Linked DNA regions of Neurospora crassa OR74A. The protein of the gene in region 1 interacts with the protein of each later gene in a pairwise test. Links are inferred from orthologs where the notes say so. Each region holds a gene or a part of one and is shown in the gene's direction. Other genes may lie near its edges.

Region 1 (6,464 bases):
CAAGGCAGCCAGGTGAAATCGGTAGTGTCCCTTTCTATTCCCTAACCCATTGAGAACATTAAGACGTCTACATAACAATCAGAGAAAGAGAGAGAGAGAGAGGCAGGACACTTGTGTGGCGTTAACTCAGCTGAATGTCTGACAACCTACCTAGAACTGTTCTTACTGACATGCACATGAAGAGCAGACCAAGGTCGTCTCTGGATATATTAGGCAGAGCATTTGGAGAAAACAGAGCCGTGTCACAGGCATGCGCTCATACATCATACGTACCATCCCTTTCCCCGTCTCCTGTACTTGAGTAAATCCAATCAACAAACATGTCAATCTTCAACAGCGAGCTCGAATTGGTGTCCATCACCACTTTACCACTACACCCTTTCATTCTACTCATACTATACCTTACCCTACCTCTACGGTGCCTAGCTTCTACTTCTACCCCTGGAGCAAGGCATAGCTTACATTACTAGCCCAAGTATAGTCACACGTGCGAACATTCGACGTCCATGCTGGCACGGAAGGCGTAATCCCATCTTGCCACTCGTACGATTCAGTCCTCGTCGCCCTAGTGTCTCATCCAAGCGAGCCAAATTGGCATCAGATCCCCATACGCCACAGACCGGACGTAGTTACATCCGATCAGTCAGTAGAAATCATTCAGCCCCTCTGCCTTTTTAAAACTGTGATATCAGACAAGAACGGCGCTCATGGGGCCATTGAAGTCCATCGAATGGCTACAAAACAGCAGCAGAGCAGGCAGCAGAATTTGACTTCATGTTTGCTAAAAGGCGAGAGAGGATTGGTACCTTACTTGGTTTCGAAGGGGCGGAGATAAGGGGATGGAAATTCAAATGTACCAGAACCTACTAATATTGAAATGTGATGTAGTGACGAGGTGAACGAGGCTCGAGGCAGGAGGGATGGGGCAAGGCGAGCCGATGTACAGAGCCAAGGTTCTGTAGATAATAGGAACGTCAAACGTTCGGTTGAGTCCACGCCTCTACTATCAGTGAACTCAACATGTTTGGCTGTTCGTCCTGGACGTGACACCGAGGGAATGGGCTTCACATACATATCCATCAACAAATCCAGAGCGCGTTGCGCTTCCTTACCTAACTTTGCAGTAGATACGTCTCTAAAGCCTTCGTTATTTAGCTAAAGTCAGTTGGTGTTGAATGTTGTCACGTCTTCCATATCGACGCTGCCTCGGTGATATTCTGAGCTCAAATCCGTTGACAGAGGGACACAAGGGTGATCTTGTCCTGAGTTTGACGAAGTCCTATCTTTAGCAAGAGTATTAGAACTCAATCAGGCTCCCGGGTACCTCGTGACTGGGGTGGGTAGGGGCAAGTTGGGTTGGAAGGCAGAGGGCCGGGTGTAGTTGACTGAATATAGGTAGTCCTCATGTCTAACGAGCTGTGCCCGGAAAACTGCCAAGCCTTGCTCACACTGACTCCACGAGAGTGAACGTCGTTGAAGTCGAGGCTGGTTTGATTGTTAGTCTGTTGCCTGAAAGGAAATGCCACACCCTCCGAGCTCCAGCCCCATTCTGGCTCAATGCGTGTTGTACAGTAGGTAGTAACGGTATATCGGATCCGGATCGTGGAGGCATTGGACTATGGGACCTTGAGGTCCCTTTGGACTCTGAATGGCCAGGTGGGCGGCGCGCCGCAGCGTCTTTGGGGTCACCATGTACAGCGGGGTAGCTAACACCCATGGTACTACACTACTGTAGTGTATGTATGTAGTACGTTACAAGGGTACCGAGCTCCCTGGCTTCTAGCCCCGCCTTCTTCCAGCCGGGCGCCGAGCAGTCCGGGGAGAGACTCCGGGACGTACTGGGTATCGGCGTGCCGGGGCGGAGCCGTATGGCCGGCGCGCGCCTCGTATAAGCACGGGCGGGGACGTGTCCTACAACCCCTGAGGACCCGGTTCTCGGTCGGGTCGAGGGTCGTCGTTTGCTCTTGTCACTCGCTTGCTCCACCCAAAGTGGCATGCGGGTTCCTGCGACGTCCGGACAAACGGACTCTCTCGAATCTCGATAAGACGACAGTTGCAGCCTGCCAACTTTCCGCGTGTTGTCCTGTTCCATTTCGTTTTCTGTGATACCTACCTAGCAGCATCGTTGGCCTGTGGCCTCTGTACAGGCCATCCGGTGGTGCATGCGACAACCACTGACCGCCTTGTTGTCCGTACTGCGGGGGAGGGGCAAATAGGAAATCCCAGGGCAGCATGTCTCGCTTCCTTGGAGAGACCTGACAGCCTGGCCATCTGGACATCGGTGCTCGAGCGGTGCTGCAGCATCCGAACCTCGATTCACTGTAAATCTCGAACTGAAGAAATGGAACGAACCCCAAGTCAAACAAGATGAAGCTTTGATCTGTCAGCAGCTTTGTAGAACGCATTCGAAGGTTCCGGCCGCACCGTTGCTTTACCAGGTGTGTCGGGCGACCTGAAGATCCTCGGAGCGATGGCAGAAGGCGTGCCTGGAGCCCGGAACAGCCAGGGCATGGAAGCAGACAGAGTGGCAGAATGGAAGTGTACCTATGGGCGAAAAGCACGGACCTTTGTCGCCCCAGAAAAGGCTCCGCTCATACTTCGTCATCCAAATGGTCGCCTGGCGGGGCGGTTTGTCAGTCAGTGACACTGACAGTTGAATCAGATGCCCGCTGTTGCTGTTGCCGCTCCCCAGCTGCTGGCCACCAGCTGCTTGCCCCTGGTTGGCTGGCCTTGGAGGGAGCAAGCGGTCGGTGCCACTCGCCGGCGCAGCGGTGCTTGCTTGCTTGCTTGCTTTGGCTCGAACCGTCCTTTCCATGCCTGGCCGTGACAACCTGAACGTAAACGAAACCAACTCCAACACCAAAACGCAAAGGCACTTCGTCCCTCCGACTGGTCCTTTTTTTTGTTTCCATCCCAACACCATTCACCTTCACCTCGCCGTCCAACCTCCAAAGAATCCCTTTATCAGCGGGTCTTGAGGCTACGAATTCTGGTTTCTTTTTCTCCAAAACCACTTCTTCCCGCTACATCCTCTCCGTGGATTAGCATCACCGTCCGCGATACCCAAATACCACATTTATTCTACTGATTCCAACACAAACGTCAAGATGGCTCCCGAACCTAATCCCGACCACGTCGAGCAGAAGAAGAAGGTCAACTTGATGTACGTGAAGCAGCGACGCTGATCGCGGGAGCTCTCGAAGCTGTCGCGCCCCCTCATCGCGAATGACGCCAAGCTGACTTGAAGCCAAACAGGGACGCTTCTGGTGCCGAGCACAAGGCCGTATGTTCAACCTCGCTTGCCCGCCAAAGACATCTCGAGAACCACTCGTGCTGACCGATGGAACAGGAAGATGATACCGCCACTGCTATTCTCAAGAAGAAGAAGAAGCCCAACCAGTTGATGTAGGTTGACGTTGAAGATGCGGGGCACTGCAACCTGAGCTAACACATATGCAGGGTTACTGACGCCGTCAACGATGATAACTCGATTATCGCCCTCTCCAACAACACCATGGAGCAGCTCCAGCTCTTCCGTGGTGATACCGTTCTCGTCCGCGGAAAGAAGAGAAAGGACACCGTCTTGATTGTTCTTGCCGATGACGATCTTGACGATGGCAGCGCACGCCTCAACCGTGTCGTTCGCCACAACCTCCGTGTCAAGCACGGCGACATCATCACCATTCACCCTTGTCCCGATATCAAATATGTTAGTCTATAACCCGGTCACCTAGTCATAGAATGGGCACCTTGCTGACACAGCATCTCCTTGTAGGCCAAGCGTATTGCCGTCCTCCCGATCGCCGATACCGTTGAGGGCATCACCGGATCTCTCTTCGACGTCTTCCTTGCTCCCTACTTCCGCGAGGCCTACCGCCCTGTCAGGCAAGGCGATCTCTTTATTGTCCGCGGTGGTATGAGGCAAGTCGAGTTCAAGGTCGTCGAGGTGGACCCACCAGAGTACGGTATTGTCGCTCAGGATACCGTCATCCACTGCGAGGGCGAGCCCATCCAGCGTGACGAGGAGGAGAACAACCTCAACGAGGTTGGTTACGATGATATTGGTGGTTGCCGTAAGCAGATGGCTCAGATCCGCGAAATGGTTGAGCTGCCCCTCAGGCATCCTCAGCTTTTCAAGTCCATTGGTATCAAGCCGCCCCGTGGTGTCCTGCTTTATGGCCCTCCTGGTACCGGTAAGACTTTGATGGCTCGCGCTGTTGCCAACGAGACTGGTGCCTTTTTCTTCTTGATCAACGGCCCCGAGATCATGTCCAAGATGGCCGGTGAATCCGAGTCGAATTTGCGCAAGGCTTTCGAGGAGGCTGAGAAGAACTCGCCCGCTATCATCTTCATTGATGAGATCGACTCGATCGCCCCCAAGCGTGAGAAGACCAACGGCGAGGTTGAGCGCCGCGTCGTCTCCCAGCTCCTTACTCTCATGGATGGTATGAAGGCCCGTTCCAACGTTGTTGTTATGGCTGCCACCAACCGTCCCAACTCGATCGATCCCGCTCTCCGTCGTTTCGGCCGTTTCGATCGCGAGGTCGATATCGGCATCCCCGACCCTACCGGTCGTCTTGAGATTCTCCAGATCCACACCAAGAACATGAAGCTTGCCGATGACGTCGATCTCGAGCAGATTGCTGCTGAGACCCACGGTTACGTTGGTTCTGATATTGCTGCCCTCTGCTCCGAGGCTGCCATGCAGCAGATTCGTGAGAAGATGGATCTCATCGATCTGGACGAAGACACTATCGACGCCGAGGTCCTTGACTCTCTTGGTGTTACCCAAGAGAACTTCCGCTTTGCTCTCGGTGTCTCCAACCCCTCGGCTCTTCGCGAGGTTGCCGTTGTCGAGGTTCCCAACGTCCGCTGGGAGGATATCGGTGGTCTCGAGACTGTCAAGCAGGAGCTCAGGGAGAGTGTCCAGTACCCCGTCGACCATCCCGAAAAGTTCCTCAAGTTTGGCCTTTCGCCATCTCGCGGTGTTCTTTTCTACGGTCCTCCTGGTACCGGTAAGACAATGTTGGCCAAGGCTGTTGCCAACGAGTGCGCAGCCAACTTCATTTCCGTCAAGGGTCCCGAACTGCTTTCCATGTGGTTCGGTGAGTCTGAGAGCAACATCCGTGATATCTTCGACAAGGCTCGCGCTGCTGCTCCTTGCGTCGTCTTCCTCGACGAGTTGGATTCTATCGCCAAGGCCCGTGGTGGCTCTGTTGGTGATGCTGGTGGCGCTTCTGACCGTGTTGTTAACCAGCTTCTTACCGGTAAGTTGATTCTTCCTTGGTTTGTGCCATTCTGCTGTGCATACTAACCTGAGCTATAGAAATGGACGGCATGACCTCCAAGAAGAATGTTTTCGTTATTGGTGCTACCAACCGTCCCGAGCAGCTCGACCCAGCGCTCTGCCGTCCCGGCCGTCTCGACTCCCTCATCTACGTTCCCCTTCCTGATGAGGCGGGTCGTCTCGGTATTCTCAAGGCTCAGCTCCGCAAGACCCCTGTCGCTGCCGATGTTGACCTGAACTACATCGCTTCCAAGACCCACGGCTTCTCTGGTGCCGATCTTGGCTTCATCACCCAGCGTGCTGTCAAGATCGCCATCAAGGAGTCTATCACCGCCGATATTCAGCGCACTAAGGAGCGCGAGGCCGCTGGCGAGGATGTCGAGATGGAGGATGAGGTTGAGGACCCCGTTCCTGAGCTCACCAAGCGCCACTTCGAGGAGGCCATGTCGATGGCTCGTCGCTCCGTCAGTGACGTCGAAATCCGTCGCTATGAGGCTTTCTCCCAGCAGATGAAGAACGCCGGCCCGGGTGCCTTCTTCAAATTCCCTGAGGGTGGTGTTGAGAGCAGCGGCAACGGCGGTGCTGGTAACTCGTTTGGTGATGCTGGCAACGATGATGATCTTTACAACTAGATGGGGGAGGGATTCAAGACTCACAGTATTAGAGCAGTCTTCCGCTAGCCTTGGGGCTCTACATGTATGTTAATATGCGCTCAAAGGATAGGAGTTGACGAGGTATTCCTTCAAAGTTGATTGACAATGTCTTTGCATAGTCTCTTTTGTTTGGCCCATCCAGGGTCGATTCAGAGCAATTGGGCACAAACGATGTGACTTATAAGATTCCACATAACAGCGGTACCCTCAGCGATTGTTTGGCATTCGGATTTGGTGACTGAGAGAAAATCATGCAGGCCATGACTTATGTTTTCGTCAACCTCGCTGGCTTTGTGTTTGACTTGGTTCCACCATGCAACTGCCTCCAAATTCGGTTATGAAGATAGGAACAGTGACCCTAAACTGATGTCAACGTGCGGCTCGTTTTTTACTCCCTTCTCAGGTTGCACCAAGTTTCTCAAATTCATTCTCAACCGTCTTCCCAAGCCTACTTGTCATGTCTACAAAATCGACGGCTGACTAGTGGGCGAGCCACTTGTAGTGATCAGTGCTGGAGTTGTATC
Region 2 (5,434 bases), on another chromosome or scaffold:
TCAGAAAAAACTCACAGTAACTCCCAGATTCCCCCAAGTCATGGCATTCCACCCGCTCACATCCATCGTCCCCTCCCATCGCAGGGCCTCCGCCGTGATCATCATGTGCCCCAGATCCGCTACCCACAAAGCAATCAGGTAGTTTTTGACGACTCTGATCTCGGAAGAAGAGTACAGCACGCCTACCCCGACAAGAAAGGCGAGGAAATACATGTTACCTAGTTGGCGGGTGGTGGTGCGGCTGGCGGTGGGATAGGCGATTAGAGGTGAAGAGGAGGAGAGTTGTTCGTGGGTGAACCAATCGGGGGAGAGGATGGCGGGGAGAAAGCCGGATAGTCTGCGTGGGGAGGTGTTAGTGTTTCTATCTGAGAGTGAAATGTGATGAGAAGGAGCGAAGTATGCATACAGTGAGAGAGGTTCGAATTTGGTAAAGACAAAGCGTGGGAAAGGGGGTAGTTGGGAGGCCATTTTGTTTATTTTAGGGAAGGGGGGAATGTGTACGGGTGACGGTGAGTGAGGATGAATAAACAATGCAACAAGCTACACAGGGCCACGCGAGGTAATGCTTTCTGGAAGTGAAGAAAATGTAAGATGAGAGAGGTGTCGTGATGTAGTCCGACGCTTAATGTCTATTCTCGTGGTGTCAATGTTTCGCGGACAACAAAACTATCCGTCGCCTCGTCCCCTTGCTGTTGTCCATCAGGGTCCTCCTCTTTTTGATTGTTGTTCAGGGTAGGCAGCATCCAAGCGAGAAGACGAGTGGAACAACTGCACTTGGCATTTCTTGGATCCAGTCGCTCTAGATTGTATTCTTCCTTTTTGGAACCGGAACCTACCATATTATTTGATCCGCTCTTGTACGTTCTTCACTTGCATCGCGCTGAAACAGGCGTCGTATGCATTGCACATATCGAAGTCCGTTTACCATGCGGCATCAATTTACCGGTAGTGCGTTGAAAAATGCTCGAGACTGAGACGCAGCGTCCGATGAATCTCAAGGAGACAAGAATTAGGTCGACAAGCCGGTCAGGGTTAGGGCTCAGCCGGACAACAAATGAAAGGTACCTCGCGGCTCGCAGTACATATACTTGTGTCGACCCCGTTGGGCAACGCCTTGAAAAAATTTCTCTTCTTTTCCAAATATTTTCGGATTTTCATGAGAGAGCCCACAAAGAGCAAGACAGTTACAAACAGTATCGCTTTGGTTACTGGAGCTTGTGGCGGTGCGCTAGGGTCAAACTGTGACTTCGATCGGATCGGTAGAGGTACGTCACCCGAGATGACTCTTATCGGCCAACGATGTCTAGCGCGATAAAGAATGCCCCACTGATGCTTGCCAGGGAACTTCACAGTTGACGTCTCATAGCTTTCAAGCCCGTCACGGCCAACATCAACATCAACATTAGCATCGAACGGTGACCCGACAATTTGCAAACAAGGTTTATAACAGAGAGGCGCCCCATTCTCAACCACTCGCCGTTACAAAAACTTTTTGCTTCCACTCATCACCAGAAGCAGCCATCGTTCCCTCTCCCAGACGCCAGTAACGCTCACCTTTCCTCATCACATTCGACAATATGGCCAGCAAACAGGAAGACCTCCAGCGGAGGCCCGTCTATCTATACGACATCGACGCCGACATCCTGAACACGGTCGCCCTCAAGTCAGATGCGGACATTACAGCCGAGCCAGTCAACGAAACCGCCAAGCAGACAATCGATACCACAGCATCTGAGCCCACCGCATCGGGGTCGCAAGCCAGCTGTTCACTATGCAGCCTCAAGTTCGACAACGTCCAGGAACAACGAAGTCACTTGAAGACCGATTTTCACCATTACAACCTGAAACAGAAACTCAACGGTCTTTCCCCAGTAACCGAGGCCAAGTTTGAGGAGCTCGTCAACAATCTCGACGAAAGCATTTCAGGTTCCGACTCTTCAGACAGCGAGGATGAAGAAGAGGGGCAGGACAAGGATACGAATATGTTATCTGCCCTCCTGAAGAAGCAGGCCAACATTGTAGAAAAGATGACAAAGGAGGGTGGCGATGATGGTGAGAATGACGGGGAAAAAGTGAAGTCGTCAAACGGGTCGCAACCATTGCTCTGGTTCAGCTCCCCGAAGTTACCCGAGAACTCTTATTATGGCGTCTACAAAGCCATGTTCACCCCAGAAGAGCTGAAGAAGGAGGACGCTATTATGGATGCTATCAAGTCCAGGCAACTGGCACCCATCACCATGGGCAAACCGCCAAAGGACGCCAACGATATCCCACCAAATTACACTGGCAAGCACATCTTCATGTGCATGATTGGCGGTGGACACTTTGCCGCTATGGTTGTCTCGCTAAACCCACGGAAGACGAAGCATGGAACAACCGGACCCCTCAACAAGGAAGCCGTCGTCCTAGTGCACAAGACCTTCCACAGATACACCACTCGTCGCAAGCAGGGTGGTTCGCAATCCGCCAACGACAACGCCAAAGGCGCCGCCCACTCAGCCGGTGCTAACCTTCGTCGGTACAACGAGCAGGCTCTCGTCGAGGATGTTCGCGGGCTGTTGGCCGAATGGAAGGGACTTATCGACACATCCGATCTGCTCTTCATCCGCGCCACCGGCTTAACCAACAGGAGGACATTGTTCGGCCCTTACGACGGACAGGTCCTGCGGGCGAACGACCCCCGCATTCGTGGTTTCCCATTTATGACCCGGAGAGCTACCCAGAACGAGCTGATGCGCGCCTTCATCGAGCTTACCAGGCTGAAAGTACGACAGATCGTCCCCGAGGCAGCCGCTCCGACTACCGAGTCACCGAAGAGACCGAAGAGCCCTAAGCCGGCTGCGGCTTCGAAACCAAAACTTTCAGAAGAAGAGGAGACGCTCCTTTTGCACACCCAACAGATCCAGGCCCTGGTCAAGCGCTCAAAGGTGCCCGCCCTTCTATCCTACCTCAGCACAAACGACATCTCCCTCAAGGAATTCCGCTTTTTCCCAGCAGACCACCACACTCCAACGCCGCTTCACCTGGCCGCATCCCAAAACTCGGCGCCGCTTGTGACCGGTCTCCTCACCCGCGCCGGCGCGGACCCTACCATCCCTAACGGCGACGGTAGGACTGCCTTCGAGCTTGCTGGCGACCGCGCCACCCGCGACGCTTTCCGCGTTGCCCGCTCGGAGCTTGGTGAGGAAGCATGGGATTGGGAAGCCGCCGGGGTCCCCGTCGCGCTATCGCGGGACGAGGCATTGAAGAGGACGGAGAGGGAAAAGAATGAAGCGAAAGAGAAGGAGGATCAGAGAAGGAAGGCTGAGGAGGAGAGGCTGAAAAAGGAGGGACCAAAGGTTGATGCGACGAAGAATGGGAAGAAGGCTGGTGGCAGTGTGTTGGCGGCTGCGATGAAGCTGACGCCGCAGGAACGAAGGGAAGAGGAGGCGAAGGGGTTGACGCCAGAAATGAAGATGAGGCTGGAGAGGGAGAGGAGAGCGAGGGCGGCGGAGGAGAGGATTAGGCGGCTGCAAGGTGGGCAGTAAGTCTAACGTGTGAAGCTGGTGCTAGAGGGGGTGGGTAAGATGAGGGAAAATGTCATGGACACTTTACGATTGCATCTAGGGTATACCAATGTCAAAGCGTTGCCAACGTATGACTCAGTTTGAGGTGAATGGAATTGACTCCCTCTGCCCATCATTATCGGCAACCTTTGGTCAACCAATGAATAATTGATCATGAGCAATTAATTGGGCATGATTCATGGAACAGGTGAGCAAGCCATGCTATTTTAGGGCGATTTCGGCTTATATATAAGATGGGTCCCCAGCCTAAACGTATCTCAGGGTAAGAAGTAGGGCATTGGGGATGGTCTCAATCATCATTGAAGCAAAAAATGAACATCATGTCTATATTTCGCCCTTACAAGACTACTCCTACAACGACAAGCATGAAACTAAAAACAATGCGAAATCTTCCTGGTCTTAAACTATCTGGTGTAAGCTAAACATTGCCTTCATAGTTTATTTTCTTCGAAATATTGCGAGCGAACAACACATCAACAGATCGAAGATTACCTATTTTCATTTAACCGAACGTCTGCTCTGTTAGTATTCGACTTGTGTCGCTAATATTTCGAGAAGAGTCCCTTAAGTCTGGATAGATGACGGGAAGATATACTCCTATCAAGGTTCCGATCATCAGGTATAGCCATATTTTACAAAGCGTTGAGTGTCAGTTCTCGCCGTTCTTGGGTTCGCTCTTGTTTTTGCGAATTTACTTCATTGAAGCGTATCTGATGCATCACGATGGCTAAAAGCACGTTTCCTGACCTGACTGATCCAAAATCACTGGGATACCCAATTCTCAAGGATGCAACTGATGAAGGATCAGGAGCCGGGGATTAAATCTCGGTCGGATGTACGATTGAAGACTTCAGGTTGTCTTCGTATCGTCCCATTCACTGAACCCCGTGCCTTTCATCACGCAATAACAAACGGCTGGAGATGGCTCACCGGTTACACTCTCGCTCGAACGACTGTATAAAGTCGACTCCTCGAGATTTCCAGTTGTCTCAATTCGTTTCCTCCTTCACTAATCTCTAGATCTACACGCTTTTGACACTCGCCTAGTCCATCGACTCCTCCATTACACACCTTCAACCAACAATAACCAGTCATCCTTTCACCCACATCACAATGTGTCTCGAAAAGCGCAAGCTCTACACCGTGTGCGGCCACCAATCCTCCGGCATTCGTCTCTGCCATCGACAGCGCGAGATCCCCAATGATCTCGAGGCCTCAGGACCTTCAATCCCAAGCGGCAGCGACACCGGCGCCGCCCTTACCTCCAAAATCTATATCTGCTCACACCTCACTCGCTTTATTTTCCCTGCAACCCAACCGGTCCCCTGCCGACCACCACATCCCTACTTTACTGAAATCCGCTTCGGCTTTTGTTGTCGCTGCCAGGCTTACTACCGCAGCGCCGGGTTTGCGCCCTCCGAGTCCGACGACACTCGCAACGACCAGGTCGTTCTCAAGTATTAGAAGTACAAGAACGTCCGTGGTTGGAGCGAGCCGGTAGATGCGGAGTGCGTGCCTGGGAAAATCATCTTTGACGGGGGGACGGAGTACGTGGAGGATCCGAGGGTGGGAAGAGGGGAGATTATCATGTTGGGGAGACTCGTGCCGTTTGCGGGGGAGGATGTGGGAGAGGGGATTCAGAAGTTGGAGGATATCAGGTGGAAGACGATCATGTGGGCTGAGGAGGGAAGGAAGAAGAGGGAGTGGCGAGGGGAGCTTGAGGAGAGGGAGAAGGAGTGGGAGAAGGAGGAGCGGGGAGAGGAAGAGGAAGATGAGGAGCGAAGAGATGTGCAGTCTAGGACTGGTTCTCAGCATGATGCCACTACAGAGGCAGACGAAGCCAACCAAATCACCAACAGGGCGCTGGT

Evidence for each region. The genes of interacting proteins can lie anywhere in the genome.
Region 2: the proteins of NCU00018 (region 1) and NCU02147 interact in binary tests that used the Saccharomyces cerevisiae proteins (3 or more experiments, as listed by UniProt). The link is inferred for Neurospora crassa OR74A from reciprocal best matches to the Saccharomyces cerevisiae genes CDC48 and VMS1.

Annotation. Positions count from the first base shown.
Region 1 is NC_026503.1:2,303,428-2,309,891, forward strand, and holds NCU00018 (cell division control protein Cdc48), read left to right. Parts: upstream 1-2,677; 5' UTR 2,678-3,107; coding exon 3,108-3,163; intron 3,164-3,255; coding exon 3,256-3,283; intron 3,284-3,349; coding exon 3,350-3,405; intron 3,406-3,459; coding exon 3,460-3,709; intron 3,710-3,775; coding exon 3,776-5,267; intron 5,268-5,326; coding exon 5,327-5,919; 3' UTR 5,920-6,399; downstream 6,400-6,464. UniProt on the Saccharomyces cerevisiae protein: ATP-dependent chaperone which probably uses the energy provided by ATP hydrolysis to generate mechanical force to unfold substrate proteins, disassemble protein complexes, and disaggregate protein aggregates.
Region 2 is NC_026501.1:1,082,711-1,088,144, forward strand, and holds NCU02147 (ankyrin repeat and zinc finger domain-containing protein 1), read left to right. Parts: upstream 1-1,367; 5' UTR 1,368-1,577; coding exon 1,578-3,527; 3' UTR 3,528-3,708; downstream 3,709-5,434. Other genes in the region: NCU16330 (hypothetical protein), read right to left, coding at 16-337, 407-468; NCU02146 (hypothetical protein), read left to right, coding at 4,680-5,023, 5,165-5,434. UniProt on the Saccharomyces cerevisiae protein: Endonuclease that cleaves polypeptidyl-tRNAs downstream of the ribosome-associated quality control (RQC) pathway to release incompletely synthesized polypeptides for degradation.